Caenorhabditis elegans: one gene and its partner. The protein of the gene in region 1 purifies or fractionates together with the protein of each later gene. This does not show direct contact. Each region holds a gene or a part of one and is shown in the gene's direction. Other genes may lie near its edges.

Evidence for each region.
Region 2: the proteins of jmjc-1 (region 1) and R04B5.7 fractionate together in Caenorhabditis elegans (co-fractionation; one large-scale study listed by BioGRID). This does not show direct contact.

The regions. Positions count from the first base shown.
Region 1 is NC_003279.8:3,621,491-3,638,347, reverse strand, and holds jmjc-1 (Bifunctional lysine-specific demethylase and histidyl-hydroxylase NO66), read left to right. Parts: upstream 1-1,864; 5' UTR 1,865-1,872; coding exon 1,873-1,975; intron 1,976-2,676; coding exon 2,677-2,934; intron 2,935-3,266; coding exon of another isoform or gene 3,267-3,283; exon of another isoform or gene 3,284-3,590; intron 3,591-4,016; coding exon 4,017-4,620; intron 4,621-4,668; coding exon 4,669-4,882; intron 4,883-5,317; coding exon 5,318-6,014; intron 6,015-6,692; coding exon 6,693-7,063; 3' UTR 7,064-7,257; downstream 7,258-16,857. Other genes in the region: T28F2.2 (Protein LAZ1), read right to left, coding at 1-49, 575-671, 720-794, 845-847; cah-6 (Carbonic anhydrase), read right to left, coding at 7,618-7,692, 7,740-7,826, 7,872-8,102, 8,150-8,447, 8,609-8,877; Y47G6A.32 (MANSC domain-containing protein), read right to left, coding at 13,261-13,509, 14,588-14,739. UniProt on the Caenorhabditis elegans protein: Oxygenase that can act as both a histone lysine demethylase and a ribosomal histidine hydroxylase. Specifically demethylates 'Lys-4' (H3K4me) and 'Lys-36' (H3K36me) of histone H3, thereby playing a central role in histone code.
Region 2 is NC_003283.11:10,088,657-10,105,438, reverse strand, and holds R04B5.7 (BHLH domain-containing protein), read left to right. Parts: upstream 1-14,877; coding exon 14,878-14,927; intron 14,928-14,999; coding exon 15,000-15,104; intron 15,105-15,409; coding exon 15,410-15,731; intron 15,732-15,790; coding exon 15,791-16,282; downstream 16,283-16,782. Other genes in the region: ugt-17 (glucuronosyltransferase), read left to right, coding at 541-696, 744-969, 1,022-1,111, 1,262-1,372, 1,423-1,944, 2,254-2,339, 2,379-2,810; C08B6.14 (Purple acid phosphatase), read left to right, coding at 3,423-3,549, 3,597-3,737, 3,902-4,149, 4,193-4,305, 4,350-4,578, 4,790-5,215; Putative UDP-glucuronosyltransferase ugt-47, read left to right, coding at 6,862-7,020, 7,109-7,319, 7,588-7,918, 7,976-8,370, 8,593-9,107; srd-49 (G-protein coupled receptors family 1 profile domain-containing protein), read right to left, coding at 9,128-9,254, 9,404-9,506, 9,553-9,707, 9,751-10,082, 10,423-10,719; R04B5.11 (Transposase), read left to right, coding at 14,187-14,276, 14,340-14,513; R04B5.5 (Sorbitol dehydrogenase), read right to left, coding at 16,521-16,665.

The DNA.
Region 1 (16,857 bases):
AGAAGCCAGTTTCCGATTAAAACGAGATTCGTGTGATTATTAACAGAATCTGAAAATTGGTAAATTTTGGTCTCGGAGAAATTTTTTTCCATTCTTTTTAATGTGAATTTTCTGGAAAAAACTCGATATCGCAGAATTTCCTGAACCTTTTTCAAAATCAGTTATTATTTTTTTTGCGTGCATATTTCTTGAAAAATTGAAATTTGAAATTCACACCTATTTTTAAAATTTCTGAAAAATAGTTTTGGAAAGGGTAGAAATTTGGAATTTTCTATCTAAATTGTTTTTTTTTTAAACTATGTAGGGTGAAAAATTAGAATAAAGAAAACTCGGCCACCGATTTTTTTTTCGCGGCCATTTTGCTGTGGTTTTCAAAATCGCGAGATGTCGGTTGTTTGTCGGCAGAGCACACATTAAAATCAAATTTTGGAGATGAAGCTGGCCGGGAAAAGTCAAAAAGCTAGGTAATGCAAATTTTATGATAATTCCAATTTTAAAAAACTCGGCCACCGATATTTATTTAGTGGCCACATAGCATTTCAGCTGAACGTTTAAAATCAAAAAACTAGCTTACTGATTCCTTCTGAAGTATCCGAAAGTATTGGCTTGTCGTGTCCACAGAGAACCAAATGTGATGCTCGATTGCAGAGCTCCTTGAATTTGAGCACAGTCTGAAAGAATTTTTATTTCATCCGCACAAAAACTAGATCTAGGCCCACCAAATTCGAAAAGTTCGTGCAAATTTCCTCAAGAAGCCACGACGGGCACTCCATGTCTCCGAGAAAATGATATTTCTGAAATAAATATTTCGTTTAGAAAACATAAATCTGTAAAAGAATCTTACCATTTTATTAAAACTCGAAATTCAAATTCCAAAAAAAAAAAAACAACTTGAGAAGTTTGAGACGGAGAGAAAAAACCAAAAGAAGAAATGTCGACGCAGAGACGGAAAGATGCGGATGTTTCACGGTCGTAAGCAAGGTACAAATTTAGGTCTGGAAATATTCATTTTCAAACTATTTTTGAAAATTTTAGAAAGTTATAAGGAATAAGACATGTACATGAGGTTTTTTCTATTTCCTAGCTGCCAAGAAGGATATGGTGCATCGAAAAAAAATTATCTTAACTTTGCCTTCTCATATCTCAGTTGTATTTGATTTTACCAAAAAATTGTCAATTGAAAAACATTTAGTATTTCTTTTCCTGTTTTGTGTAAATTAAAATAATTTTATATCCCAAAAATTAACCAAGATATGGGCAGTCAAAGTGAATGATAGACATGGTGAATCGAGAAGAAACAGCTCACCAAAAGATTTATCAGATCCTATATTTTAAAGATTTTACCTTTTTTATAAACAGGACAAATACTACAAAACTGCTCAATATTTTTCAGAAAGATCAGATTTTCGTAAACTTGGCAATTTACCAAAAAATGTTAGAAATCTAAAAACTAGATGTTTTTTTTATTAACATAAGTATTTAAAATAAATCAAATTCAAAACAATTTTATAGAAAGACAGCTGACCTAATAGCCAGGGCATTGGAAAAAATCGATAAAACCTATTAAAACAACAATAATATAGACAGTCAATTCCATATGTCCATACCCCCTAGCCACCCTTCTTGAATGTCTGGGTTTCCTTCCTCCCCACTGTCTCTCGATGGCCGTGGCCTAGGTTTCCCATCTTTTCCCGTCAAACCAGTAGATACTCACGTACACCGCGCGAACTCTTTTTTCTTTAAATTTGAGGCCTAAAAAGTTGTTTATTTTTGTTGTTTTTTGCCGGATTTATTTATTTTATTTAATTTCAAAAATAGGCATTTAATTGTATTTTTAAAATTTGCTAGATTTTGAAATTCTCAGAGTGCGAAATGGGCAAAAAGAAAAACTCAAACAAGTCGGCTGCTGCTGCACCAGCAGTTAAGCATAACGACAGATGGTCCAGTATTGAGCTCGGTGAAGCTAAAAGTGCAGGTATTTTTATTTTGTCTTCGAAATTGCTTTTTAAAGACTATGACTTTCAAATTCTAGAAAACGGCAGACATTTTAGGAAATTTTCTGTCAAATATTCTACTGACTAACTTTGATTACTTATATCTCACTAACTTTTTATTTCATTGAAAAGCTGTCAACTGAAAAAGTTTTTATTGAATATTTTTCTACATTTCTGTAATTGAACATTGTTTGATATCTTAAAAATAGCCAAGATATGCGCTGTCAAAGTGAGGAATAGACATGGTGCATCGATAGAAAATGTTTTCTTCAATTTTTGACTCCCTAAATCTAATCGATGTTTTTTCATTGAAAATTTACATTGGCCATTGGATTAATTCTTTTTCATCAAGAAAATATACTTTTAGGTTAGTAAATGGTTGTGTATTTCACGTGGAAAACTGCAAAATTCAACTAAATATAAATATTTAGCCAAGAGTAGATTTTCGTCAAAAATTTCAGTTTCCATGTAAAAAAGTGTACGCTACTGTTAGTTAAATGGTGTACGTAACAAAAAAGTCAATTATTGATTAATGAAGTCTTTTTAGGAAATATAATTTTACAAAAAATTAAACTCCTAGTTTCCAGATTTTCTGGAAAAATCCCCAATTTTTTTTGAAAACATTCTGATCCAAAAAAAAAAGAGATATCTTTGGTCAGTCAAATTCAATTGACATTTTCAGCTGTTTCCCACTACAAAGAGCCCTCAAAAGAGCCGAAATTTGTGCATCCAGCCAAGCTGGAGAAAGTGAAAAGAATTCACGATGGATTGAATATCGATCGAGTTCTTTCACATGGGCCAGTTCCGAAACAAAATGGAGGAACCAAGAGAAAACATGTGGAGGTGACAACACAAAAGTTAGAGAACAAGAAGCCAAAAGTTGAGGTGAAAAAGGAAGATGAGAAGAGTAAGAATAAGAAGATGAAAAATCAGAATAAACGTGAGTTGTAAGAAATGCTTAGAATTTGAAACCGGGTATCGTTGGCAGAGAAAATCTCAATCGGCCAAGGTCGCCGCGTAGCCCTCAGTTTTAATTATGGCCGAATTTTAATTTTTCTAGGTCACGCAGTACAACGTGGAAGTAAAGACAAAAAAGCCATGGCTATATGTTTTAGGTCACCCTTAAAAATCAAATCCAGAAGATTTTAACCGGGTAAAAATGGCCATTTTATTGGAATTTTTGGATTGTTTTTTAGTTGATGTAAAAAAGTTGGCCGAGGTTTTCCATTTTTCTAGGCTACCAAATCAATTTTTTGAATGATTTTTGTTCAGGGACAGCAGCTAGCTGACATCGAAATCATCTCTGAGTTGCCGATTTCAGTTGCGAAGCGTCCCCTGACAAAAATGTTATTTTTTTTGGTTTTTCTAGTACAATTGTTGACTATTTTGTTGATTTTTTTTTTGTGACCCATGAAATTATCTATAAATTAACTCTGAAAAATATTTGTTATTTTCTTTAGTTTTTGATATGTTTAAAAAAAGTTTAAGAATTTCAAATTCTAATTAAATTTATATATTATGAGGTAAATTTTAAAAAAATTTCACCAAATTTGGATTTTTTGAATTACTTGAATAAATAATTAAAAATTTCTCCTATTTCAGAAAATTTCAATTAAAAATTTTCATTTTCATTTTGAAAAAATCGGTTGGAAATTGTGATTTTAATTTTACAAAAACATTAAAACTAATTTGAAAATGTTCAAAAACATTGCTCTTACATACGTTCAAAGTATTTGGCGGAAAATTCATAATTACTTTTTTTTTAAATTTTCTGACATTTTTTAAATTAGGATTTGGTATTCTGAAAATGTTCTAAAAATTAACCCAAATTTTCAAAAAAAAAATTTATTTTTTAAACTTTCTCTGAAAAATTAGATTTTTATAATTTTTCAGAAAAAGGCTTTAAAAATTCCGCGATAAATTCTAATTTTAATAATTTTTAAAATCATTTCGAGGACACCAGCAAACTGGTTTTTTTTTAAATTCCAAAAAACCTAGTGTCTAATTATTCTTAATTTTCAGACACAGCACTTGTCCAAAATGAGACTTCCACAAGATCCACATACTTTGTAGAAGAGCCTGATAATGAAAATAAGGTGACTCTGATCTCAAATGGACGGGAAATTGCGTTCAAGAAGACAGAAGTTGTGGAAAGTGACGATGAGCAAATGATTGGACTGGATAGTGATGAAGAGCTGGAAGATGAAGATGAAACTGATATTGATGAAGATGAAATGATGATTGATCCGAAGGATATTGAGAGATATATTAATTTTGAATCAGTGGAGGATGAGGAAGACATGGAGGATGAGGAGATTGAGGATGAAGAGTTTGAAGATGAAGAGTTTGAGGACGAGGAGGAAGAAGCTGATGAGCAAGAAGAAGAAGAAGAAGATGTCTCTGACGAAGAATCTGTTGTCTCAGAAATGGATGCAGACTCTGATGACGAGGGATTCATTGCTGGAAAGGATCGTGAAGCCCATGTGATTTCCAAGGACAAGTTCACCCGTAACGCCCCAGCCGTGGACTTTGACAAGTTCCCCTTTACCGATGAAGACTCCGTGGTCACTTCTTCTCGAGCATTTGGATTTATGATTTCGCCGTGTGATGTTCAGACTTTCTTTGAGTAAGTTTTTCTAGTTTTGAGTGAAACTGAAAAATGAATAATTATCAGCAAATTCTACCAATCGAATGTTCTTGTGGTGCGTCGCAAGCAGCCGACATACTTTGGCAACCTTTTCTCAACTGCCCGACTCGGCGAGCTTCTCGAGAAGAACCATTTGGAGTATGGACGGAATATCAATATTGCACAGTACAAAAATGGGGTTAGAACTACGTTGAATGGACAAGGACGTGCCTACCCGCAAATTGTTAAGCAGCACCTTCATGTGGGTTTTTTTTCTGAAAATCAGAAACTTAAACAATAACACAGCACTAGCGATCCCTACAGTACCCCTCTAGTACCAAAAGCACATCCTACTTCATACAGTACCAGCCCCCCATTGCACTAATAGCAAACCCTACAGTACCCCTCTTGTACCCCTCTTGTACCAAGAACACATGCTACTTTATACAGTACCTCTACATTACGACTAGCGAACCCTACCGCACCCCTACCGTACCACGAACATATCCTATTTCATACAGTACCACCCCCCCCCCCATTGCACTAATAGCGACCCCTACAGTACCCCTGTTGTACCAAGATCACATGCTACTTTAAACAGTACCTCTACAGTACCACTAACGTACCCTACAGTACCTCTTCCGCACCAATATCGTATCCCTTGTTAGTAATACTATCAATACTTTTTCAAATTCAGAACATGTGCTCTGTTCAACTCGTCAACCCCCAAACCTACGATGATCGTATCTGGTACCTGTGTGAAGTGATTCAGGAGCAATTTGGATGCTTTGTTGGTGCAAATACCTATCTTACACCAGCAGGAAGCTCTGGTTTTGCCCCACATTGGGATGAGATCGACGCGTTTCTTCTTCAAGTTGAGGGACGGAAATATTGGAGAGTCTGGGCTCCAGAATCAGCTGAAGAGGAGCTTCCACTTGAGTCTAGTGACAACTTCACGGAAGACGATATGAAAGGACGAGAGCCAGTTTTCGAGGGATGGATTGAGAAGGGAGATATGATTTATATTCCAAGAGGCTACATTCATCAAGCAAGAACCGATTCGAAAGTTCATTCTCTTCATGTGACAGTTTCTACGGGAAGACAATGGAGTTTTGCCAACTTGATGGAGAAAGTAGTGCCCGAAGCAATTGGAGTACTCACTGACACACGTCACAAGTTGCGACGTGGATTGCCAACTGGATTGTTTGATATGGGAGGAGTTATTGATTTGGACTATTCACAAGAGGATCATTTTGTCGAGAAGTTCAAGATGGTTGTTGACAGGCATATGAGCATGTTGAGAAACTTGGTGGCAGATCAGCTTTTGGAAAGTTCGGTGGATAGTCTGGCGAAAGAGTTTATGAAGCAAGCATTGCCACCGAGGTTGACTGAACGTAAGTTATGAACTTCTATCAAAAATTGTTTTATTCGTACATAATGTCTGGGCCACGGAAATACATCATACCTTACGCGCAAGTTTAATTTTTGGCCAAACCGCCTTCATTCGAGTACGTGTTCATATAGGATAGGCCTGAGCTGTGCGAGATATCGCACTCTTTGCCCTTCCGCCATGAGTCATGCCGGAAGGGCAAAGAGTGCGATATCTCGCACATGAGAGGCTAGGCGTACGCGTAAAACATAGTGCATCGATCCCGCCAATCAGGTGACATCACAGCTCGGTTCCTTTGCTTTCTCGTAATAACCATAAAGGTGTCAGCGATTTTTGCACGTTATGATGCATTGACCCTACAGGCCGCCAAACGATACGACCATGAAAGTGTGCTCTACTGTTCAATGGTGATTTCCAGTAGATAAAAATTTTCCGTAGATAATTTTTCATGTGCATCATACTTAAAAATTCTAGCCGTTTTTGGGATAAATTAAATTTAAAATTGCGACTACTGTAGAAATTAGTGTATATGCTCCCCGTGACAAGAAAAAGTTGCGCGTAAGATACGATGCACTCATCTACCTGGTTCCGTCATAACTCGGATCGTGAGATTTCATCGAGACCCCCTCCCTCGAAACCCTAATTCAGCAAAAACAATAATACTGACTTTATCATTTTCTAGAGGAGAAGAAGCTCAGCGTCCTTGGCTCATCAACAAATCTTCTTGGAGATGACCTCGTCGATTTCACTGCTCGAACCAAAGTTCGTTTGATTCGAAGACACACTCAACGACTGCTGATGGAGAGTGAAGATGCCTGCTTCATTAGTCATCGAATCAACAATTCTCGACTTTTCGAAGGACGTCCAGAGCAGATTGTTGAATATCCGATTAGTGGAATTGATGCGTATAGGGTCCTGTCAAATTCTTATCCTGAATGGAGAACTCTGTATGAGATCTTCTCGTTGAGAGAGACGAAGACGAAGAGCAGAAAAGAGAACTTGGCAGCCATCCAACTTTTGTTCCAGATTGGGGTTCTTTTGGTTAAGAATTGAATTTTTAAAGAATTATTTATTTGAAAAACTTGCGTAAAGTAGGTTTTCTTTACTGTTTCTTTGTTTTTTTCTTGTTACCATCTTTTATGCCTACTCTTCGTGCCTACCAGGCGTGGGAGGCAGGCTTGTCAAATGTTTTTCATGTTATATTACTTTCTTTCTTGTTATCATTATTATTTGTGAATGAAATTTTTTTTTAATTTCCCAATCTAACCAAATATTTATTACAACTATACATCTAAACATTTTTTTTCAAAAAGAGATCAAGACGCTTGGCATATGTGAGACCTTTTGGAGAGAAAAGTGTGTGTGAAAAGTGAATCAAAAATATGTGAATGCTGGGGGAAGTTATTGCGTTTTTGGATTATTGTATTGCAAATCTGAAAAATGGGGCTTTAAAGGCACATAATGACGCTCTATCTAAATGTAGATCTTGCTGAAGCATGTGCCTTTAAAGTTCCGGAATGGGTTATGTCTTAAAAATAGTATACGGAAAGCATGACTGAACGAGAAGACGAGTATCACAGCCGGTTGGCGGTGGTTGAGGTACCATATCACTGTCGGAATCCGAGGTCGGGAGCACCGGCGACTGAGCGAAAGCTACTTTGGATTGTACGAGAGGAGGGGTTCTGAAATATAAGTTTTCTGGCCTAAAGTCTGATTTGGAGGTTTATACCTGAATTGGACGAAGTGGCTTCATTGGGACCTTATCAGAGAATTCTTCGTCGTAGCGTCCGGCACGGACCTCGCGGAGCTTGTCGAGCTGGAAACAATCAAAATAAGAAGTTTCCCAGTCTCATTGACTAACCTGATGAGAACTAATCGGAAGAGCCGCTCGGATGACAATCCAGTTGACAGTCTCTCGGAATGGATCAGTTGTCTCCGATCCTTCGTACATCCAAAATTCCTTCGTCTTCTCGGCAACCGGGAAGAATGTTTGGAAGTCGAATGAGCAGAGTTTGCATTCACTTCCTTTGTAGATCACTTGTGGTAGAAGATTGATCAACGGACTGAACACTGCGTTGTCGTCGTGGGATTCCTGGAATTTTAGAGGTCTTACGTCACAACTTTCTCATTCAAACTTACATTCAGAAAAACAGCGATCGCAATAACCCCATTGGGTTGTTTGAGAGCATCGGCCATTGTGGCGAATCGCGTATTCCGATGAATAAGATGCATTTCTCCTGCGTACCCAACCCCACCAATTGTGTGCTCGGATCCGTTCATCGGCTCAGTTGCCCAATGAAAATTTACAGCGTCCAGATGATATTGCTCTTCTGGGAGGAATGAAATAGCCAGCTCACTGCTGTTACCCTCACGCATCAGCCAAATCGAATTGCCATCGTTTACTGCTTTGAATTCACCGGTCGATTCGTAGGTTACTCTGGAATTTTGAAACTTTTATTTTTTGAAAAAAACATTCCGCTTAAATATCAAAAGCTTCAAAATCAATGTTTCTAAAAATAACGAGGGCACACACACAAAGTAGAAAAGCAATAAATTTGGCGAATTTGCCGCACACCCCTGTTTTAGATCTCTCCTTACTCAAAGTGTGCATTCTGAAGATGCTCGCCAAACGCAGTGATAACCGGAACGATATCAATCGGCGACTGAGTCCTTCCCAACGATGGCACATTGAGCACCTTGCCCAATGAATCCAGCTTCACCTTGTTCAATCCAGTTTTAAAGGCACTCTCCATGAACTTTGGAGCCTCTTTCAATTGATTCAACGAGTCAGCGATTGATGGAGCCGCCGCTTCGGCTTTTTGCTTGAGTTGGGCAAACCCACCCTGTAGTTGACTAAGGAATGCCATGGTTGGTGGGAGGTGGAGATGAAGATGGTTATTACTGGAAAAAATTGAGATTAGGGTTTAAAAATAAATGGAAAATGATTGATGTAAAATAAGATTTTTCAGAATTTTGAAAAAATTTCAGAGAATAAGATGTCTTAAAAATAACTTTTTAAATTAACAGCGACCGAAGCGACCTTATGAAGCCTGCTTGTTTCTAAATCAAAAAATTATTTTCAGAGTTAACGGAGCAATAATTGGTAGCTTGTTTTGCGAGCTCAAAAGCAAAAAATGTTGACAGATCTAAGCTCAAGGAAATTGAGCTATTATGAGAAAAGGAGCAATGAATCGAGCATATAGGATATTTATAGGGGGGAAATTGAGAGCTCATTGAAAGGGAAACTATATTACTTTTCTCACATATGTTAGATGAATATTTTTTGTCTCGACGAAAAAAAGCCTATGAAAAGTGACGTACGAAAAACCAAAAAGTCATGCCGAGCCATAGTTAATGAGCGAAGAATTTTTTACAGAATTTAGGAAAGCGCGCGGTTATGCGTGAAAAACTTGCTGATTTTTGTTTTTGGGCGTCAAAATCTTAATTTTAGATTTTAGAGTTACTTGATTAGCGTCTTCCTGCCTTGAACGTGCCTACTTTCAAAAAAAATATATTAAAATCAGGATGAGCACATGGAATAGATTTTAGCGTTGACTAAAATGCACAAAAATAAGCGGTAGGCAGGCAAGAGGTGCGCAGCAGTGAAACATGGTGCATTGTGTCTGCACACTTTCGTCTAGCCTACGTCCGTAAAACACCGTATTTTACATACACTTCTAGAGTTATCAGAAGTGAACAAGTATATTCGGTAGCACGTCAAACAGGGTGCACTGTCTTGGTGTCAGCAAACTTTTTTATGAGCTCACTTTTTTGATGCACCATATCTTACGATTAAGTTTGTTTTTGGCAAAAGTGGGTATATGCTCTACGGAGCATAACCTGGCTTTAAAAAATATTTGGTGCAAAAAATCGAACTTTAAAAATTTTTTCAGTACGCGCCAAACATAGTGCATCAATTTGGTTTTTTGCACTATTCCTCTAACCCCCCGTCGGAGATGCACCATATCTTACGCGCAGGTTTCTCCGAATTTTTAGTAAATCACGCGCTTCAATCCCCGTTATTAAACCAACCCTGTGATTCGGCTCGAAATTCTTTCGTACAACCGTCTGTTATTCGCGTTTTGAAATCAGAAGACAGCTACAAAAAGAGAAAAGGGAAAACAGAGAATTTGAATCAGTGGAGGGAAGAAGTCAGCCAATGACGGGCGGCGCATAGTGAATTGAAAAAGAAGGAAATAAATGGAAGAAGCAAAAGGGAAAAAACATAGAGAAACGGCTAAATAAGACTATAAAGTGACGTGGCTGACGCTTTGAAATTGAAATTGAAAACATCGAAGCGACTGAAGTGAGGGGAAGAAAACAAGGGGTTTTTGGTTTTGCAGAACTAAATTTGTAAAAAAATAATGGCGGGAAATAGGTGTTCAGATTCTAAAAAAAACACTCTACAAGTGAAAATAGTGAAGCAGCCGACATCTAACGGCTCTACGATAGCCCAATAGGGCGAGGCCCGTGAGATGTCGGGCGTTGATGCCCACCGTACTCTTTGCTTATGGTGGCTGTTGGAGGTATTAAAAAGCCGTTAACTCCAAATTTTCGAAAAAAAAAAATTTCAAAGAAATTCCAAAATTTATTTCAAATAATTAGAACTTGACAAAAAGTTGTTTTTTGCATTTTTGTTGGAAAAGTACACTAAAAATAAAGCAGCCGACATCTAAAGGTTTTACACAAGCCCAAGGCGCGGTCGTGAGATGTCGGCCGCTGTCGCTGACCAACTTTGACAGCGCATATCTCTGTGGATTTAAAAGTTATCTAAAAAGTAAAACTACGAATTTGTGTGAAAATTTATTTTCTATATTTTTTCAATTAGTGTATGTTTTGTAGAGTTAAAACAGCAAAGATTTAGGGCCTCGAAGTTAGTGGAGAAATTTTAAAAAAATCAAATAACAGGAAGCCTAGGGAAATTCTAAAATTCCGAAAAGTTTTCTGCTCGACCAAGCAGTAGACAGCTTCCGGTTTAAGAACCGGACGCCGCCATAAAAAAAAACCAAAAACCTGCCGAAAATGAAAAAAAAAGTGGAAAAAGTTGAAAGTATCAACAGAGTCTCCTCCTCCTGCTCAAAAAAGTCGATAGAGTCGCGCGCCTTCTCTCGAGTAGAGGGTAGGAAGACCACTGGCTGCTCGAGCTGCTCGGCTGCACACATTCTTCGATGTAGGGAATGTGGGGGGGGGGGGGGGGGCCGCCGCAATGCTTTCGATAATTCTTCTAGATTTTCTTCTTTTCTTCTCTCCCTTTTACATAAATACATGCTGCACATACACTTGCAATTATTCTGAATGGGTGGTGGGGAGAAAAAAGCGACGAAAAATGAAAGGAATCTTTTGAAGAAGATCAGGAGGTGTCGAGAATTTGATACCCGTGAAGCTCTAGGAGAATGAGAATCCGGAAGATAATGGGGATCAGTTTGCAGAAAAAGTGTGCTCCGAGGGTTGTAGCTCGATTTGATTGAGGAGAAAAATCAGTGGCTGAGGTTTCTAGTAGAAAAGTCTATAAGTTTAGTTTTGAAAAATGTTCCACTTGGACGGTTTAGTGTATATACTATCTAAAAATCTCAGAAATATAGACAGCTTTAGTTGAAAGTGTCACTAATTTAATAGGCGATCAAATCGAGATTTTTGTGGGTCCTGCCACGATATTGAAGTCATTCTTCATAACGGTTTACAAAAACTCGGCCACATCATGAAATTAAATAGTGAAATTTTGAATGGGCTCGTAGGAACAACAAAACCCCAATTCAAGGCCATTTTCGGCAAGATTCATGAGAGAAAAATCGATTTTTTTTTAATCTCAAATAAATCGTGGCCGAGGTTTTGCTTTTTCTAGGCCACGTAGCAATAAAACGGTTGCTCGAATTTGACGGAAATAGACTTTTTTTAAAATTAAACAGAAAATAAAATAGAAATATAATTTTCTCACTAGTAAAACCTCACTAGAGTTTGAGCCAATTTTTCAAAAATTTCAAAAACCCTAAAAAGTCAAGTACCCAGACATGTCATGTTTCAATTCAAAATTGAAAAAAAATGCGGCATTTCAAAACTATACAAGACTAAAAGAAATACTCGCATTTTGTGCCCTGAGGGGAAACAAAACAAAACAAAAAACACATAGGGCTCATAAATTGTTGATGAGAAGGAGGAAAGAATGAGAAATACTTATTTCAAAATGTCAAGAAAAAGAGTGTTCGTAAAGCTTTTTTTTGCACATTTTGAGGGAACGAAAAAAATTAAATTATGAAATCTGTGTCGTCGTTAAAAAAAAAATTTTTTGACCGCAGTCTGAGCCTAATCCTAAGTCTAATCCCAAGCCTAAACCTAAGCTTAAGCCTAAGCCTTAGCCTGATCCTAAGCCTAGTCCTGAGCCTATGCTCAAGCCTAATCGTAAGCCTAGGCAAAGATCACCTTGAAGGCAGGCAGCGTGCCTACAGCAGGCACTACATTTCCTATAACTTTTCTAAAAAGTTCAAGTGTTTATCGGTCTCTTCGATGTTTCAAACCTCCAAGGAATTGGAGAAAAAGAATATATATATGGGATAAAATAAATGGGAAAAGAGATTTTTCGTGGCGTCGTTTTTTGGAAAACGAGAGAAATGGAAGCATTTCTTCGTGGCGGAAAGGAAGGGATGCACCCCAGAAATTCAATCACTTTTTCGCCCCGCGCTTCTCGGGGTCTCTTTTTTCAACTTGGTCTTTCACTTTTTCACATTTTGAAAATTAAATGGCAGAAGCAAAAACAAACAAACAAACAAGAATTAGTTTTAAAAATGTTTTATTAAAGGTGCGTAGTTCAAAATTGAAATGGCAAGAGATGAGGTAAGTGGAAAAGGAAATATACAATAGAACAAGTTACCCGCATGTTCAGAAACATATGGAGACTATTTACAGACAATTATGAGCTTTTGAGCACCGGAAATATATAATTAGAGGGGCTTGCGCATCAGTTATGGTGTATACAAATGCAGGTGAGAAGTGAGAAGTTATGGCAAATTTGGGCAAATTTTAAATGTTGAGCTTGCGCGTCAAATGTGATGCATTGAGACCGAGGTTGTTATTCACTGAAGCCTAACAACTTCCAGAATTTGCAAAAAAAACATTTTACTTGAGTTGGACCCAAATGTTTTCCAAAATAGTGGAAGTTTTTAAGGAATAATTTTCAGTTTTCCCTTATAAATTTGCCATAAATTTCCAAATCTCACACAGCTAACTTCTCATCAACAAAAAAAAACTATCTAAAATCAAACTTGAGGATTAAAAGCATGCAATGTGGGTCCACCCTTTACAGTGGATATATGTGCTTTTTGACTTCGTTTCTTTCGTCTACAGTAACAACAGTACGCGACACACAGGGTCACATTTAGGCCGACACAAATTGCAGCGACTCCGATTGCGACAGCCAGGACCCAGAAGGGTGTTAGTGCCGCCCGGATTTCTGGGATGTACGAGGATTTTGTTGTTGATGGGGTTGGTGGCGTTGTTGTTTCGTTCTGGAAATATTGGAAATTTTAAATTTTTTTTGGAAGCTGAGCAGCATGGGCAACATATTTTTGTAGTGAGATTGTCTTGATAACTTCATAAAAATACTGAGAGTAAAAGAGTAAAAGTTTTGTAAATGTCCACTGCACGTTTTCAGTTGTTAATGCAGCCGACATTTCACGAGTGGATTTCTTTTGAAAGCATATTTTTTACTTCTATTACTATAGAAAATTTCCTGTTGCAGAATTATAGAAGACAGAACTTTGATTAATTTTACAGTTGAAACTGTTTTTCTAGAACTAATAGCAACCGAGATAGAATCCATTAAGGTTGTGGTGGTGGCAACGGCCGACACCTTACAGGCCGCTCCGACAATGGCCTACCCGGGAGATGTCGGCTGCTTCGAAGTGCACATGATTTTCTATATATATTCTGTATATTAAAAAAATAAAGCAGCCGACGTTTCGCAGGAGACTTTTACATAAGCTATGTCGGCTGCGTTTTTGGAATCATCAACTTTGACCACTTATATCTCGGTTTTCATAACAGTAATCAAAATTTTGTAAACTACAAAATTGTTAAGCATGTTTTAATAAATACTTTGTCAGTTGATAGTTTTTTAATATATCTTGGAATAAGAATTTTCTATCAGAAATTTGGCTAAAGCTTCTATTTCAGTAATTTTCACTGAAGAATCTTTTTTCCTACAGACTTCCCTTTCTACCTTTAGAGCAGGATATTAGCTACGTTCAATTAAGCACCTTCTCCATTCACCCGTATATCTGTTATTGTATCCCTCTTTTAAATCTATCCTTCCGCCACTAATATATAATCCCCAAAATGATTACTACCTCCTCTCGTAAAATAAGTAGTAATAAAACCTACCCCGGGGAGAAATGGAAGGGGAGGTAACTAATATGTAATACCCCCCCCCCCCCCCCCTCTCCCAGTTCTCATTACATGAGAGCCGTCGAAGCAAATGCACACGACCCCCCCCCCCCCCTTGAATAATTCACGTGTGAAATGGCTACGTAGTTTTGAAAGAAGCGGAAAAAATAAATTGATGAAAATAGAATAAAAAAGACTTACCCTAATACGGTGAATAAGTACTGAAAGAACGCCTGATGAATGTTGAGTTGAAGGACCATTGAATTGACATTCGGGCTCACAGGATACCAGGAGACAGTTGGAATCGTCGAAATCTGTGGAGGTTATTCCTTCGAATGTTACTCCGTCGCAATCTGGAATTCAAGATTTTGATTATTGAATATGAGTAATCGTTGAGTCACTAAGGAAGGGTCAGAATGCACCACCGGGCTTTTGAACAAGGCATATTTCACTTGAAAGCTCGTGTTGAAAAACTCTTAAAAATTAAATTTAAGCTGCGCGACTGAGCTTGAAACAAGGCTCCAGATTTACTCAGAGCAGCATGAGTGGCGCACTATCGGTACTCTGGGGATTAGAAGTAGCAGGTAGAACTTGTGTTTTTTTTGTAAAAGATTTTTAAGATTAACTGTCCTAGTAGCCGTTTTGCAAAAGAATGTTTGCGCACACATGGTGCATCGACTGACAGTAGGCAGGCACGTAGGTTTGAATGTAGGTAACGTTTAATTGGTAGATTATTAAAAGTTTTAAGGATTTTTTTTTGTCGAAAGGCTGAGACTATTTCTAGCAGTTTTGCGGGAATAAACATATTTTTAAGTGTCAAATAATAATTTTTTGATTGTTTTGCAAAATTGAAAACTTTTTTTTTAATTTCAGAAATTTGGAAATCATGTCAAAAAAAGTCCAGTTTTTTTCCAGTGGTTTTATTTTCAAAAAATTACAAATTTATCCAAAAAAAAATTCTAGATTTTTCCAGTACGTTTCAAAAATAACACATATTTTTTTACCAGTTTCTCGAATTTTCACAAAAATGGTTCTGTAGATTAGATTCTTCATAGTTTCAGACCTTTCCCGAAAATTCTCAAGTTTTTTAAAAGTTACCAAAAGTTTTTGAAATTTTTCAGGAGTTTCTAGAATTTTTCTAAATGTCTCTGAAACTTCCAGTAGTTTCTCGAATTTGTTTAAAACTTTTTGAAGTTTTTTTAAATTCTTCAACGGTTTCTCAAAATGTTCACAAATTCCCAGATATTTTGCGAATACCCGAAAATTTTCCGAAAATGTTTCAAGAACCTTTCACCAGCCGTTTTGAAGAAAAAAAAACTTTCACAAAAGTCAAGGATAGAAAATTGCCAACAGGCGCTGCTTCTCGGGCTGTGCACTAGAAAAAATGTGATATTTTTCCAGAACGAACTAAAAATGCTCTCCCTTCCCCTGTATCCATCATCTCTTCCTACTAGAAAAACACATTCATTCTATTTATATTTACCCGTCTTCTTATTTCACTCTTCTCGTCTCAATGCATCGCGCTTCAATCTCCATAGAAACGGAAATAAAAGGACAACTACCCCCCTCCTCTCCCAGCTACTCTTCTATTATTTCCGTCCCGAAAGGGAACAGCTTCTTGTTTTGAATGCTCAAATGCTCAAATTCAGGATTGGTAGCTGCTTTCAAATAGGCGCGAGAGAATCGGTTTAGCCGACGATAAAACAAACGATTGTATGACACGCGGATTAACCGCGACACTGTCTCCGTGCTCGCGGAGCACACACACACACATACGGAGGAGAAGCTGCTGAGCATTTCCCGCGCACGGAACGATTCGACTGGTAGTTCGAATTGGGCAAACAACTCGAGGAAGGCTCGCTTTTGCTGATACATTTATGTTTTCGAGTATCCCTTCCCGAAACATGGGAACATGGATTATACTTTAAACCGGATAGTTTCGGTTTTTTTTTGTTTGGCCGTGGATTATTGAAAAGAGGAAAAATAGATATATACTTTCGGAGTGGCTAAGAAAAAATATGACGTCAGAAAAATGTTCTGAAAAATTACAGGGAGACTCATGGAATACACTATATCTTACGCGCAAATTTTCTCGCTCAGCACGTGGTGTCAGAGTGTCCCATTTCGGTGTGATCTAAGCAGATTTACGAGAATTGCGGGAATTTCTGGATTTTAGACGCAAACTTCTCAACTGATTTCGCATGGTTAAAAACGTGCTGACGTAACGTTTTTTGGGAGAAAAATTCCCGCATTTTTTCTAGATCAAACCGTAATGGGTCAGCCTGACACCACGTGGCTCAGGTATGATAACGGGAATATACAAAAAATAGTATGTATTTCAATTTCAAATATTTTAAAATTATCGGAGATCTCAAATTTTATTGGTACGCCACGTAGGCGAGCACCTCAACCTAAAACCTGCTCAGCTACAAAATTTTGTAATCTATTTTCTGAAATTAAAATCTATGGAC
Region 2 (16,782 bases), on another chromosome or scaffold:
TTAAAACAATATTTGATTCAGGATCAATTGATAAAAATAATAAAACATTACTAAACATACGCTCGGATCTTTTTATTGTGTTATTCAACAAGCGATATTTCTAATCAAAACATACCGAATAAAATTTCAAAGTATCGATTATTCATAATCTTTGCTAACTAATTTTTTTCAGTAGTCCAACAAGAAAAAAACTCATCGATGATTAGAACAGTTTCTCTTTTTCTTCAATGCACTTGAGTAATTTTAACTCTGGCCGTCGCGGGTAAACAAGTGTTGACGCAGGACTAATAAATATTTTTTCTATAATTCAAAAAAAAAACACAATCGCTTCAAATTAACCCTGTCACAGAGATTTAATATTTTTAAACTATACATTTCTGACTTGTACACATGAGTTTCCACTTTATAACAGAGTACGTGAAAACATTAGGTTTTTTGGTGTCTTATCAAACAGAAACCATGCGCTGACCACATCAAGCTGGCAGGAAAATTATTTAAAAAAAGATAAAAACTTTGAATTGTTATTTGGAAGTTTGAACAATGAACTTTCAATATTATATTATTTTTATTCTATTTTCAATAATTGATTATTCAAATTCTTACAAAGTTTTGGTATTCAACCCCGCTTTTGGGGCTAGTCATTCTAATTTTCTCGGAAAAATCTCTGATATTCTCATTGATGCGGGCCATGATGTGGTTAGTTCACTAAAAACATCAAATTTCCACAAATCCCCAAAATTCAGACAATGCTTATTCCTATAGCGATGCAAGGAAAAAAACATTTAGTTGGATCAAAAAAAGTGAAAAATATTATTCGAATTGATCAAGATCCACGAAGTATTGAATTGTATAAGCAAACCGGAGCTGAAGATGTTTTGAGAAAGAAAATTTGGAAAGTTGAATCTGATATTGCGTTGTTTTTTAAAATGGCTGGGAATTTCAGTAAAACCTGTGGTTATCAATGTCAACGTAAAAAAATAATAATAATACGAGATTTTGGTTCATTACAGAAGCATTTCAGATGTGTTTCAGCAGACAGAAATTCTCGAAAAATTGAAGAATGAGCATTTTGAATTGGGAATCACCGAGTCATTATTTATCTGTGGATATCGTGCGTTTTTTAATTTTTATTTAATAGTTTGTCTGTATTTTACAAACAAACTCTTTAAAGAAAATATTTTATTTACTTTCGAATATTGTTTTAGTGATTTTTTCTGCTCGTTTTTGAGTAATGAAATACGGAATATTTCTATTATTTCAGCATTATTTGATCACCTCGGTGTCAAAACTATCATAAATGCAGATTCAGTATTATTCATGGACATAGTTAAATGCACTCTTGGTGAACCATCATCTTCAACTTTTTACCCAGGTTTGAGCATTGTTCAGTTTATGATACTTTAATCATTACATCATTTGAAGCTCTCATCTCACCAATGACTGATAAGATGACTCTGGTTGAAAGAATAAAAAATGCAATACAGATGTTGATTCCTGTATATTTTTCAAAAATGCGATTTGAAGAAGAATTAAGTATGATAGAACCGTATTACAATGGATCAAAAACATGGGAAGAACTCTTGGAAAATGTGGCATTCAATATGGTTAATTCAAACAGATATTTGGATTATGCAAGTCCCACTCTTCCAAAAACAGTTTTTATTGGAGGAATGCAAGTGAAAACAAAGAAGCAAGGAACACCAAAGTTAAACAAAGAATGGGATGATTTATTAAATATTCGGAAGGAAAATGTTCTTGTTTCTTTCGGATCAAATGCATTTTCATCAGAAATGCCAGATGAATTTAAAAAATCATTTCTCGATGTATTTGCATCAATGCCAGAAATAACATTTATTTGGAAATATGAACAAGAAAATTCAACAATTGCAATGCATCTTTCAAATGTGAAAATGACTACTTGGATGCCTCAAAGTGATTTATTAGGTAGGATCATATTATTTTTAAGGATAAAGTCGTGTAAAAAAAAGCCTTTCGTCATTTGAAAAGTTGAGTAAACGCCAAAAGTCATAGTTAAATTGGGTCAGTTAGATGTAAGAAAAACTATGGCCTATAGGCACAAAAATGCATACCTACACACCAGACTAACAAAAAATACACGAATTTCTTTTAAAAAAAACATAGTTTTAAGCCTCTTTATTTGAAGAGTTATTACATACTTAACCGAGGGGTCACTTTTAACGGAAAAAAGTATCACGAAATTCCAAACAATATTAACAAAAAAATGGAGTTTAGCTGACAATCGACTGAGCCTGTTTGTAACTCATGGAGGTTTGGGAAGTTCTATTGAACTTGCTTATCAAGGAACGCCTGCAGTTGTTGTAAGTTTCGTTTTTTTTACTAATTTTATAATTTTATAGAACATTTTCAAGATCCCATTGATGGCTGATCAGCCGAGAAACGCTCACATGCTAACGCGTCACGGCGGAGCTATACAACTAGACAAGACAAATCTTGATAATCCACAAATGATTCGTGACGCAATTAAAACTATTTTAGATAATGATAGCTATACAGAAAACGCCAGAAAACTAGCACAGATTTTGGAGGATCAACCATATACTCCAGCCGAAGTTGTCCTAAAGCATTGTGACTTTGCAGTAAAATTTGGGGTATTGGACACTTTACAGTCAGAAGGAAGAAAATTGAATGTATTTCAATTCTATTCGTATGATATTTTGGTTGTTGTTTGTTTTTTAATCATCACTGTTGTCGTTTTTATCGTTTTATATGTGTTTCAATGTATTAAAATTTGTTCAACTATTTTCAGCAAAAAAGTTAAAAACGAATAATGTTCGAAAATTAATTCTAATAAACATTTTTTACTTTATCAATATTTTATCAAATTTTATCAATTATAAATAGCTTCTTCGTTCTCACAATAAAAAATCCTAAAATTTTAAAAAGGCTTCAAAGATCCGACTCACCGTCCACAGGAGCAATGAGAAAGTGTTTATCCTATTTTTCAAATACTTACTGAAGTTTGAAAATTACGAGATCTACAGTTTTGGTAACTTCAAGCTGTTATCACATCAACGAGTTGCTATTAACATCATTTCAAATTTTCCAACTCCTCTGTTCAAACACAATAATCTATTTTCAATATTTAAGAAAGGAGCAAACCTCATCAATCACGCACATGTCATCTGCTAATTTTGAATACAAATATAACATTTTGGTCTTACGACCAAAAACTGTCTCTTCTTCTCCTCCCGCATCAGCTTCTCTTGCAAACTTCAACGCGTCATACACAACTAATCATGTCCAAATATGCGAGCAATTCTCAAATTCACTGGTCTGCAACTTATTTTTCGCCAACAGATCACACACATACCGTTTCCTTAACAAAAGATAAGACACTAACTATAAAATGAATGCTCGGATTACTTCCGTGTATCTCCAACATGAATACAGTAATTTTATTTGTCTTATTTTTTACTAGGCACGTTTTAACACTACCAGAACAAGTTCATCTTGCCTTTTATACCAGTCCTTGGGACATTTCAGTTAGCTGGATAACATTTGAAAATGGTAGGTTTTACTTCTTGCGTTGATCTCTTCAATATAAATTGATACAGCTGAACCATCGTTGACATATGGAACTTCATCTAAATCTATGTTAAATGTGACAGGAACTACAAATACTTGGATATTTGGTGGTATAACTCGCCACTCCCACGTTGTAATTTTAAAAAACCTCAATCCATCAACTCAATATTGTGAGTGAAGTCTTTATTCTGTGATAAACTATCACTGAAATTGCTCAGATTTTTCCAAAAATTTTGGCTATACAATTTTTACATATAGTGCGGGCAAAACATATTTTATCCCGCAATTGTTTCCCTGTTTACTACATTTTCTAGAGAAAAAATATTCTATTCAGATTATCAGATTGATAGCCGAAAGTTTAATTTTCGTACACTACCGACCGATTTAACATCATACAAAGTTTGTGTATTCGGTGATCTTGGTGTATACAACGGGAGATCTACTCAAAGTATTATACATAATGGAATTGCTGGAAAATTTGGCTTTATTGTACATATCGGAGACTTGGCTTACGACTTGCATAGTAATAACGGAAAGTTAGGAGATCAATATATGAATTTATTGGAACCAGTTATATCGAAAGTACGAGTTCAGATGATTTCATCGCAAAATTAAACATTTTTAGATTCCTTATATGGTGATTGCTGGAAATCACGAAAATGACAACGCAAACTTCACAAATTTCAAAAATAGATTTGTGATGCCACCAACTGGATCAGATGATAATCAGTTTTACAGGTACACCAAGTTAGCAAGTTTTAAAATTAGAATATTTAATTTAGTATTGATATTGGACCAGTTCATTCGGTTGGATTAAGCACAGAGTATTATGGATTTGAGGAACAATATGGAAACGCTTCGATTTTCACCCAATTTGATTGGCTCACAAAAAATTTGAATGAAGCCAACAAGAATAGAGAAAGTGTACCATGGATTGTAATGTATCAACATCGACCGTTTTATTGTAGTGTGGAAGATGGTGATGACTGTACTCTTTATGAAAATGTTGTTGTAAGTTTATTCATAGGAAAAGTAGAAAACTGACATCAATTACTCACACGCGATCTGTCAAATTTTGTTTTAAAAATCCAATTTACGACGTCTTACGTCTACAATGAGATGATTTGATTGCCCTCGATCACAGAGTATTATCAGTGTATTTCAAGTGAATTTGTTGAAGTTTTCAACAAAACGTAGTTTAAACAAAATAAAAATTTCACAGCTTCGTCACGGAGCATTTGGAATTCCGGGACTTGAGCAAGAATACATCAAAAACTCAGTAGACATTGGGTTTGCTGGCCATATGCATGCTTATGAAAGAATGTGGCCAGTAGCCGATATGAAATACTATAAAGGATCAGAAGCATATCACAATCCAGTTGCTCCAGTCTATTTTCTCACTGGATCGGCAGGTTGTCATTCTTCTGGTATGAAGTTCAGTCCAATTCCAATGCCATGGAGTGCTCATAGAAGTGATGATTATGGATATACTGTAATGACAGTCGCTAATACAACTCATATTCATTTTGAGCAAATATCAATAGATAAGAATGGAGATGTAATTGATTCAATATGGATTAGCAAAGACCTCGGGCATTTCCATACAAATAAAATGAGGGAGAATGCTAATGGAAAAATGTTTTATTAAGAAATCATAGTTTTTTTTTATTCTCGCAAACCGCATTATTCACAAATTAATAAATTTGTTCATGTTTCTTCAATAATGATAATTATCCTAAAAACATTGTTTGACGTTAATACATGAAAAAGCTGCAATCAGAGTTAGAGGTCTCTTTGGTAATGAATCACTGTTATTGACGATAAACACAGAGAATGAAAACTAATTAGGCACTTACTTTTCCATCTTCTTCTGATCCTTTTTCTGTGTTTTTTCTCAAACATATGTCTATTTGATTTTTTCAAACCTTCAGTTTATTCCGTTAAAAACTCTTTTTTTATCATAAAACTTACTGGAATTTTCAATAAAATGGAACGAAGCGTTCATTTTTCTGGGGAAATAATAAAAAATTTTCTTGAAAACACTTCTTTGGCGTTTTGTAATTTTCATATTTTCATATCCCTTTCTTTGATTTAACAATGAGATACAGTGCACTTTCTTTCAATTTAAGGGTTTTATTCACGATATTTAATTTTGAGTAGGACTTGGTCTATTATCTCCTTGAAACCAGAACGTCTCGTGGACGATCTTAAGTTTAAGATTCTCCGGGGATTTTTGTCAAATATTTTAAATAAATTATATTGCGGTTATGAAAATATGCGTTGACCAGATACTTTGAAATTCTGGATGTTTTCAATTTTTCAAATGGATACGTCAAAGATATGTCAACGAACAATTGAATTTCGACTAGAATGTTAGCTAAAGTTGTTTTTTTTTCATCTGATTGAATAATGTATAAAGAAATAACTAATCTTCGAGTACTCGTTTCCCTTAACACTTGTTTAAAGAAAAAAAAAGAATCTGTTTAGTGAAATATAATGGGATGTTTAGATATTTTTGTCTGTGTTCGTTTTTATTGGAATTTAATTTTTATTTTTATGCTCTGAAAAGTTCTGATATAGTGTTAATTGTTATCATATTCATAGAGATTCCGTAATATCAATAATTCACTAATCTTTAAGAAATTTTTACAACTTTTGAACCAAAAATGAATTTGTCTATTGTTTCTCAATGTGCCAACGACATTCAAATGAAAAGTAAAATATCATTTTTGTATCGGTCCAATGCTTACATGAATAATGTTTTTACAATTGTCACGTGGATTTTAACCGCTATGGTAAGATTCATGTTTGCATAAAACAGACAACCACATTAAAAGTCACTTTGAAGGCATTGAAACAATTATGTAAAAGAGCAATATTTCCAAAATCTACACATGTTCTGATGATTCTCAGTTTGATTGTTACCAGCATACATGAATTAATTTATGGAATAGTACAGGTATCATGATAAAAAATTTAAAAATTGATTTTTTGAATGATTTTCAAAATTGTAATATTTATAAATGTACCACCTAAAATTTTTGATAAAGGATATAGGTTGAATTTTCAAAAAAAAAACGTGTACATTGCATAAGTGATCATTGCTGCAGATATGAAAATAACAAACTACAAGATACGTTTTGGGTTCCTGTGACATGTACGCAGTTCTTTCGTTAAAACGATACGCTTAAAAAACTTGAATGGCATTTGTTTATTATTCTAACTCTCTTCACTCTCGTTCCTCATTTATAATTGACCAGTTAATCAGTAAATAATCATTTTATTGTATTTCTAATGTTTCGCTATCATTCAATACTATTACTTGCTATACTGTACTTCTTTGAGTATGGTTTAGCATACAAAATTTTAGTATTTTCCCCCGCAACTAGCAAATCACATTTAATATCAAATGGTAGGATTGCTGATGAATTGGCAAAAGCTGGGCATAATGTAGTAAGTGATCTTTTTGAAAAATAATGAATTCTATCAAAAAATCCAAAATATTCGAATCAAATCAGAAAAATGCATTTCTCAAATTCAGACTCTACTAGAAATTGACTTTCTGGGAATTGTGGACTCTACAAAAAGTGCAAAACTCGTGAAAAAAACAATTGTCAGAGTACCAAAGAAAATGCAAGGATTCAAAAATGTAATTCAAAGCTTCTCAGAAGGAGTGATGGAAGATGAAGGATTGTTTGAATTATTGAAAGGAAATATTGCATATCAGACAGTATACAATGATTTATGTGAAGGTATTTAATTTCTTGTTGTTACGTTTTATTGGAGACTTAGAAACAATGGCTTCGAGAATTTCAAACTCCCGCGAATATGATTTTAAGCGAAATTTCAAATTTCAAATTTCGCTTTTGTGTTTTCAACGTAATCAAGCAAAAATGCTAATTTTAAAAAACCTTTCATAGCTTGTTCATTCACTTTTGATTATCAGTTCTAATACACAATACACAATAACATCAAAAACCATTGTAGTTCCGATAAGTTTTAATGCCAACTTTTTTCCAGAATTTCTTGAAAATGAAGTTATGTTCAACAAATTGAAAGATGAAAACTTTGATGCTTTCTTCGCTGAACAACTGAATATCTGTGGTTTCGGATATGCAAAAGCATTAGGAATTCAAAGAAAATTTTTAATATCTAGTTGTCCATTCTTTTCCCATGTTTATGATTACACCAGTCATCCTGCTCCCTATGCCAGTGTACCGTTCATTTCGGATATGAGTCCTGAGCCAACTTATCTGGAACGTACAAATAATCTTTTGCGAGGAATTACCATTAATACATTTTTCTATTTTTCTCATAATAGACTGACGTCAATATTCCGGAAGAAATTCGGGTCAGTGAATTTTCTGTTGGATTTGTAATTTCTGATCAGATGATAGATTATTTTAAGAGACGACTTCCCTGCGATTACTGAGATTGTACGAAATGTCGACATCATTTTTCTGGCAACAGATGAAATCATTGATTTTTCATCTCCAACATTACCAAATCTTGTTCACGTCGGTGGACTCGGAGTTGATGATGACACTACAGAAATGGGCCCAGTTTTTGAAGCTGAAATGAAAAAAGGAGATAAAGGAGTCATTTACTTTTCACTTGGAACCATTGCCAACACTTCAACAATTGATAAAAAAGTTATGGAATCGTTTTTGGAAATTGTTAAAAAGTTTCCTGATTATCATTTTCTGATCAGAGCAGACAAAAATGATAAGAACACAAAAGACAAGGCAACGGAAATTTCGAATGTCTTTGTTTCTGATTGGTTGCCGCAACCAGCAATTTTACGTGAGTTCTCGGTCACATTTACACCAGTACAAGCAGCCAAAGTACTTTCTGATTGTATCTTCATTCAGAATTTTTTAGTATAAAAAAATTTCTGAAGTATTATTTGTATTATTGTGTTTGTATGAATCTTCCAAAAATCCATACAAAAAATTTAATCCGTTGAAATCTTGTGGGCTGGAAAAATCAAACTACATTAAAAGTCTGATAATCAAATACATTCAGATCATCCCCGCCTTCGTACTTTTATTACACATGCTGGTTACAATGGTCTTATGGAAGCAGCTCTTGCCGGTGTTCCATTAATTACGATTCCATTTATGTTTGATCAGAATCTAAACAGTCGAGCAATCGAGAAAAAAGGATGGGGAATTAGAAGAGACAAAAAACAATTCCTCACGGAGCCAAACGCCATTGAGGAAGCTATAAGAGAAATGCTCACAAATCCAAGTTATACGAAACAAGCACATCGAGTACGTGACTTGATGAGAAACAAACCCATGGGAGCAAGAGACCGATTTATAAAAACAACTGAGTGGGTTATTCAGAATGGAGGAGTTCATGAATTGCTGACTGAAGGAAGAGATCTCAGTATCATCAAGTATTACAATTTAGATATCATTGTTCCATGTTTCTTTGTTGCTTTTTATTTCATAATTTTCCCATTTTTCAAACTCTTTGGAGGATTTTATTATTACAGTTGTTTTGGTCATATTGAATCAAAATACAAAAAAGATTAATGATTTAAATAAATATTTTATCACGTTTTTCTTGATACCGCCCGAACTGCAGAATACCCATTTCCTTTAGACATTATGTCATTGTCTGATAATTTTGATAAGCTGAACCTGCATTGGCGAACTGCGAGAAGATATTTGAAGAACATTCTGAAATTATTAAAGTTAGAAAAAATGTGCTCAAGTTGTCAAGTTTATTAAGAATATTCTCCAATTTTCAAAGAAAATACAAGCAAGTTACAGTAGTATAATATTTATTTAAAAATTGGAACTCATTGTTTTTAAATACAAAATCTTACCGCCTGAAAGGTATTACAAATACAATTGATAGAATTGGATCTATCAAAGTTGGGAGAATTACCAGAAATGAATTGAAGTACTCGAGTATTAACACACCAGCTTCTGAACATGAAAATCGCATTTTAAAAATAATTGTTGACTCGTTTACCCGAATATTGTGTGAGAAAGAATTGTACGACCAATGGTACAAAACAAATACTTGGAATTAAAGTTTGAATTGTCAATCCCGTGATCATACTCTTCGCATGTTTGATTCGTGGAGATTTGTATTCTTCGTATTCATTTAAAAGTCCCCATATCTTGCTGAAAGGATATTTCATAAACCTTTTTAGAATAATAAACTCACTTGCGATAGATAATTGCAGCTAGTGGGTTTAATACTAAAACAATTGTGAAAATAATAGTAGATGCTTTGACTGCAGGAGACGTCAACGCTGAAAACCCAAAAATTGAGTTTTGCTCAAAAATATACGACGGATGCAGAGCACGAGTTTCCAAAACAATTGCATTGTGCTGAGATGGATTTATAAATTGACAGATTGCACAGAATATAGCAGGTAGATGCACAATTATGAAGTTTCTCATTATTTGGACTGATGAAAGTTTTTGATGGGATAAGATTTTATACCGATAGTAGAATACATGAACAATTGCAAAAAGTGCAACCATTGAAGATGCCTGAAAATATTAAGAAATGATCTCTGTTAGGATGTGGCTGTAGACAAGAAATATGATTGAATGTCAAACTGAAATTTGAGCCTATTTCAAGAATAGTGTAGTTCATATTTTATGAGAATTTTTCCAGAAATTAAAAAATATTTTTCCATAAAAATAAACGTTAATAAAAAATACAATTAACTGATTTTAATTGGGCAAATAGTTAAAATTTTTAATATTTATATTTGGTCATTTTGGCTTTCGTTGTTGTATCTCAATTTCTTTGGAACAGAAATATTTCGCAAATGCTCTTACATGTTTTCTGAGTTTTCACTTAAAAATTCAATAAAATTCAACTCACATCTCTTAATAAATGCAGTAGAAAACACGAACGTCTTCCAACTCTGATGCATACACCTGTACATACAAATGCCACTGTTGTTTGATTTGGAATCATTCGACATTGCGTTAGAAATCCCGAAATTATAGTTACAACTTGGGCGGCACATATATTTAAAAGATAAATTCGCATTGTTCGTAAAAGTTTTGTTTGATTTTTGAATATGAGCAGAAGTAACAAAGCTTGTGAGAAGAGAACACTGATTGCAAAAATTGGATAGGCAACATTGATGAAGGCAAGTATGTCTACTTCTTTCATACTCTGTTTAATCTGAAATTAGAAATATTTTAGAGATGAAAATATAGAACAAGTAATGAGTATGTAATGACGAATATCTCGGATTACTAAATAGGTGGGAAATGTGGCGGGCATCGAAGGACACGTGAGTGTGGGAAAAATGGAAAATAAGACGAAAATGTTGTTAAATAAGGGACAGATGATGAAAACTGGAGTCATAAAACTTATATTTTATTGAAACTAGAAAAATTAAAAGGTGTGGCCATCGAGCAAAATCAAGATAATTCAAAAACATTTGCACAAAGTTCCCGCCTTCGCTTCGAAAAGTGTCATAAGAATGAAGTGGAAGCAAGTAGAGCGGAATGCAAAAAGCGGAAGTGCAGAGAGATCGAAATATGCAGGATTATTATGCGAGTAAGCTGAATTTCAAGTGTTCTATGGACAATTGAATTAGTGATATGTAGACGACTTCTGGTAACTTGTAAAATTTGCTAGCAGAGCATCAAAAAAACGTTCGCGAATTTAAGTAAAACGGCGCATTAGGTTGTCATAAACTCTAAGCTTCACATTCATATAAACTCTAAATCTAGCTAAAGTTTAATCCAAGAAAAAGTTTGAGTCCTGAGATTTGTTATGGCGAAAACAGAGAATGGACACTTGTTTTAATTTAATATCTGTTAATTTAAGTCAAACCAACTTCGAAGTCTCAGTACATCTCACCGGTACTTTCTTTGATAGACGAAACTATATCTGAAGGAAACGCATACGGAATGAGAGGATCGATGACGGCTAAAAATGGCTCCAAAGTATATACGATATATATATATATATATATATCGAAAGAAGATTTGAGCTACAATGTCGTTACGTTACAAAATTATTTTCACGAATTTTCAAAATTTCCCAAAAGCAGCGAATCGCGTGTCGTGATTACAACAAAAATGGGATTCCTCAAAATATGCCCAATAGCTGCTGAAAAGTCGCAGATGGCTGTTGGGATCGCATAAAACGGCTGAACGGTCGATTTGCAGGCAAACAGCTGACGAAAATTCAGTTTTTTCTGAGAAAAAGAGTTTTAGTGGCTTCTAACGGTAAGTTGATTGTTTCTTGCGTGAAACTTGCGTTAAACATAAAACAAACAAAACGTAAGATTTTGAACAAAATTAATTTCGAGCTGGAGGTCAATCGGATTAAAGACCGTTTGCTTTTTTTCAGCAGGAATTGAGCAGCTTTTCAATGTTCCCACTTTACCTGTAATAAACCTTCTCAAAAAATTCTAAATTTGATGTAATTGTGTAAACTCATTGCCGGATTTTTTGTTGATTTAGGCAGATCTCCGTCTTTTGATAACCAAACTTGATAACTTTCGGATGCATATAAATCGAAAATGTGCGAAAATCTACAAAAAGTGAAAAGTTCGAAATTAGCAATCAGAATATCTAAATCAGGCAAACAAAAATTAATTTCCGGCTTTTTAGTTTCGCGCAACTCACGCCCGCCTTTGCGCACCTTCCAGTCTTGTACCCCCTAAAAAACTAAATTATTCAAAACCAATTCAATTTTTATCTGCACTAAAAATACATAAGAATTAAAGTTTTCGTTTGTGAAAAGTCTCAATAATACGGTTGATAGGAGATGTTTGAATTGACGATAAAGATTGACATTAGACAGAAATACATGTGGGCTTGACAGCATTCCCTTGAAAAAGTTCGAATAAAAAGCAATCTTTTGTGCTCTATTGTTGAAATTTCCCCCCGCCGAGTAGAAAGTTCTCAAATTTAAAATAGACGCGGAAGAGTATTTCACTATTTCTGAAGTATCTCGTTTTCTTTAAAACTGAACCATAGAAAATATCTTGTTTTTTGTTGCAGTCTTTATGTTCAGATTTTATTTTAGATTTTATATAAGACCATCACAAGATTTGGACAAAATAAAACTACAAACAATTGACATGATTTGTTCAGACTGACGAATGGCAGAGTCTGACGTTTCGACAAATTTCTGTGCATGGGAATCTCCCGAAATTCGATATCTCTTTATTCTCAAAGAGCACAGTGGTTTCGTTTTAGTCAAACTGCATATCTTCAAAGCAAACCACGTGGCTTCCACGCTTGCACCAATGTCTGTTTGCTTGATCAAACAAGAAATCTCATTTACATGTCCTCCGACCTTTAATCCTCATATTGCAATCAACTACTTCTGCTTTTAGTTTTTCAATTTCGTCACACTCATTCCCCCAACATCATCAACGCACAACATGTGCGAAAAAAAAACTTTGAGTATTTTGTTTTGCGTGGGGCATCGAGAGAAAGAAGCCGACTGATTCATCCAGCAGTCGTTGTTTTGTTTCTTTTTGGGCCGCAGTGGGCGGTGGGAACAAAGAGATTCTGAGACGATCAACCTCTTAGGGGGTATTTTGATTGAAGAGGCAAAGAGAGCTAAGAAAAAAGATTGCGTTTGCATGTTTTTAAGGTTAAAGGAAAATGGGAAAAGTGGACAAGAGATGTGCAATTATTTTAGCACGAGTTAAACATTAAAAAAACTTGATATACTGATAAAAAAATATTTGTCGAAAAAAGTGACTAAATTTTTAATGTCGAAAATAGTAGATTGTTCATTAAAGTTTTAAGAAATCACAGAAGCGTATTTAACTTAGTCACAGTAAAACATAAAAACAAGTATTACGTCAAGTTAGAAAAAATGTTTTCAGTTACAGTTGAATCACTTTTGTCTGAAATAAAAATCGCTAGGTGAACTGAAAAATATGAGTTTCAATTAAAAACAAATATAATTCTGGTAAGAAACATTATCTTAAAGTTCGTTTTAAATGATAGTTTTAAATAATGGTTTCTATTTAAAAAAAATGTATTGCTTGAATAAACTAATGATCTTTGTTCTTACAATTAATTAAACATCAGATCCTAAGATGAATTCAAAACAAATTAATTATCTTGATGAAATAGGCAAGTATGGAGTGAGCATGAATAGAAGAAATAAGATTCCATTAAAATCAAATAATGAAGACTCTGAGATCCTGAACTTTTGATTCATAAAAAATGGGAGCATTCGATTAAATTATACAGTAAACACTACTTGTACTTAAAATAAAAAGAAACACTGCCAGTTCTTGTCTGACATAAATGTATTATTTTCGATTATTGAAGAAGAAGGGCGGAATGTATTTTCATAAGATTTTTTCAGATTTAAAATAGAAACCTATACTTTATAAAGCCATTTTCAAAAGTTTACAGTATAAACGAGGATTAGAACAGAAAACTCGTAGAGGTTTTTAAAAAATATTTATCATTAAAATATGAAAAATAAAGTAAATTAATTGAAATAATTTAATAGAAAAAACCAAAAAGTTGCCTTTTCGTGACACCCTACCAACTACAAGAAATGTGTTTAAAATTCCACGTGTTCGTACCGCACAAACAATAAGAACGTACATTGTTCTCTTTCGTCGTCCGGAGAAACGGTGGTTTCGTATGGTGTCTGTTTCGTTGAAGCCATCGGCTCAAAAATATGAGCGGGACAAAAGACAGGAAGATGCTCAAAAAGTGACACGACAGAAAGAGGTTAGCTCGACTACAATTAGTTACTTATGTGAATTGGCTTGATTGTCATTTTCAGTTTTTTAGTTATCAGACATGAACCATAAATCGTGCCAATTGTGTTTTGAATGGAATTTCAGAAACAAATCAAGAAGGTGGGAATTGAAAATCAAAAATCTACAAAGACTCGTTACAAGCCACCTAAAAAAGGAAAACCTTCGAGAAGAATTGAAATGCCTCCACGAACTGAACAAGTTATAATTGATATACTTGAAACGCCAATTGAAGGATCTCCATTGAATCCAGTCACCGATATGAGAATCGTACCACTTACCATCATCCGACTCAACTCTGAAATTCAAATTCCAGTGCTGGATCTTTTCTAGCTATAACATCAGCTACTAGTTATGATTTGTTTTACTATAGATCTCACATATGTTTTTTCTATTTTCTTGTAAATATCTGCATCTTATTCCAATGAAATCATTCAATTTCAACACATGTAGACATCACATATGGCCGAGGTGGTACGGTACCCGGTCAAACTGTGGGCGTGGTTTAGAAATTCATGTCGACTCGAGAGTCTATTGAGAACATTCATTCATTATTTTATAACTCGTTTAGAATGGATTCCCATCTGAAAACTATCGATGAGAAACATGCAGCTCGTTGCAAGTAAGTCTTTTTCAATATCAATTGGAAGGCTTATTTGAATTTGATTTCAAGTTCTAAATTTCGTGTTTTCAGGTACCAAAATGAATTGCACAAAGAGAAAAAGGACTTCATTGTCAAATTGAAAATGCTCTTGCTACCACAAAAATTGGTTCAACAGGAAACTAGAATAGTTCTCAAGTAAGTGGGATAAACGTTGATCAAGATTAGAAATGAGTTTACTTTCACTATCGTACATGAAACACTCTCATGACAATTTATAATCTGTGCAGTCAAATTTATAGTACCTTGTCACTGTGGTGGTACGGTGTCGAGTACTTTAAAAATTCTGTTTTTTGAGAATAAAGAAAGGCGCACTATAACGAATATCATTTGGATATTGTAGTGACACCGTAAGGGTAATTCAAGGGTGTTGTAGAATAAAGAAATGGTACTATTTAGACAAATTGTAAAATACTGGAATACGTTTACGATCTCAATTTCAGAGCTATACGCCAGTTGTTCGAAGAAAAGTTCCCGGAACGTATTGGGAAGGATAATGGTTGTCTGTTCCGTAGAACCGTTGAGGTGAACTGTGTCAGAACTTCCGTTTGGGCAACTTCGGACTTCTCCAAAAACGTTGACCTTTTCCATACGAAACTGTGCCAAGACAAATCGTTCAAAACGGATATTAATACATTTTCACCAATTCCTATCAGGAAGACGATAAAGAAAGAGGCACCAGTTGAATCCCCATTGGAACATCCAAAAGTTGGTTTGAATTCTATGCCGATTGATAACAGGCAATATGGAGATTGGAATATGAATGTGAGTTTTCAAATGAAGCATTCTTGGACAATTTGTTTTAACTATTTGAATGATTTCAGCTTAGTACACACAATACTGTTTCCTGGCATGTTCCTGTTCCACCTGCTCCACAGCCAATGCTGCAGGCAACATACCCGGAGCAGAGAACGGTATTCGGTCCTTCCTACCTTCAACAAATGGACTACAAGCATCATGCTCAAGAACTTTACAACTTCTCAACTGATTACTTGCTCACCCTTCCCCCGCCACTTGGGAATTCTTCAAACCTTGCCACTTTGCAATCCCAGTCCAATTGGTCAAACAATCAACTGTTTGTGCCACCAGCGCATCACATGAATCCTGCCAACACACAACAAATTCAAGTTAAAAATGAACCATTGGACTATTTGGATGAAATGCTCTTCAATCACAACCAAAATATTGAAGCCAATAATTTGTTTGTTCCACCCTTCGATTCATCCCTGCTTCAGCCATTCGAGCCGCCATTGACTGACTTTTTCTCCCAGCCCAACTTTCTTTTTGAAACTATGAACTCCTTCTCTTCACTTTGAACACATTCTCTGAAGACAAAATTTGATTGCTTTACTTTTTTTGGTATATGTTTTCAACTCGAATGACACAATCTCCAACTTTATAACTTCCAAATCAATATTTCCCACTGGCTTTGACATCATGTTTCCTCTCGGCATTTTAATATGTCCTAAATATTCTCTTTAAATCATTTATTCCAGTTTTAAACCATTAGTAGGACATTGTGAATAAAGATAATTACATAATAATTTCGTATTATCAGCATTGAATAAATACTTTGATGACATCAGCCTTCTGTGTTCTTTTGAATGCTTCTTGTGTTTCTTCAAGTTTATAGTGAGCACGTGTTAGCCCCGACAAATTTAGTTTTCCAGATGAAATGAGTTCGATTGCTGTTGGGTAGCTGAATAATCAAAGTTGTTTCAAATTTTATTCATTCCATTTCAATATTTTGTATTCTCAGAAGTTATAGAAGTGATCGGGTGTTTCGATGATCTTCAAATAATTATGTTCTTTGGCA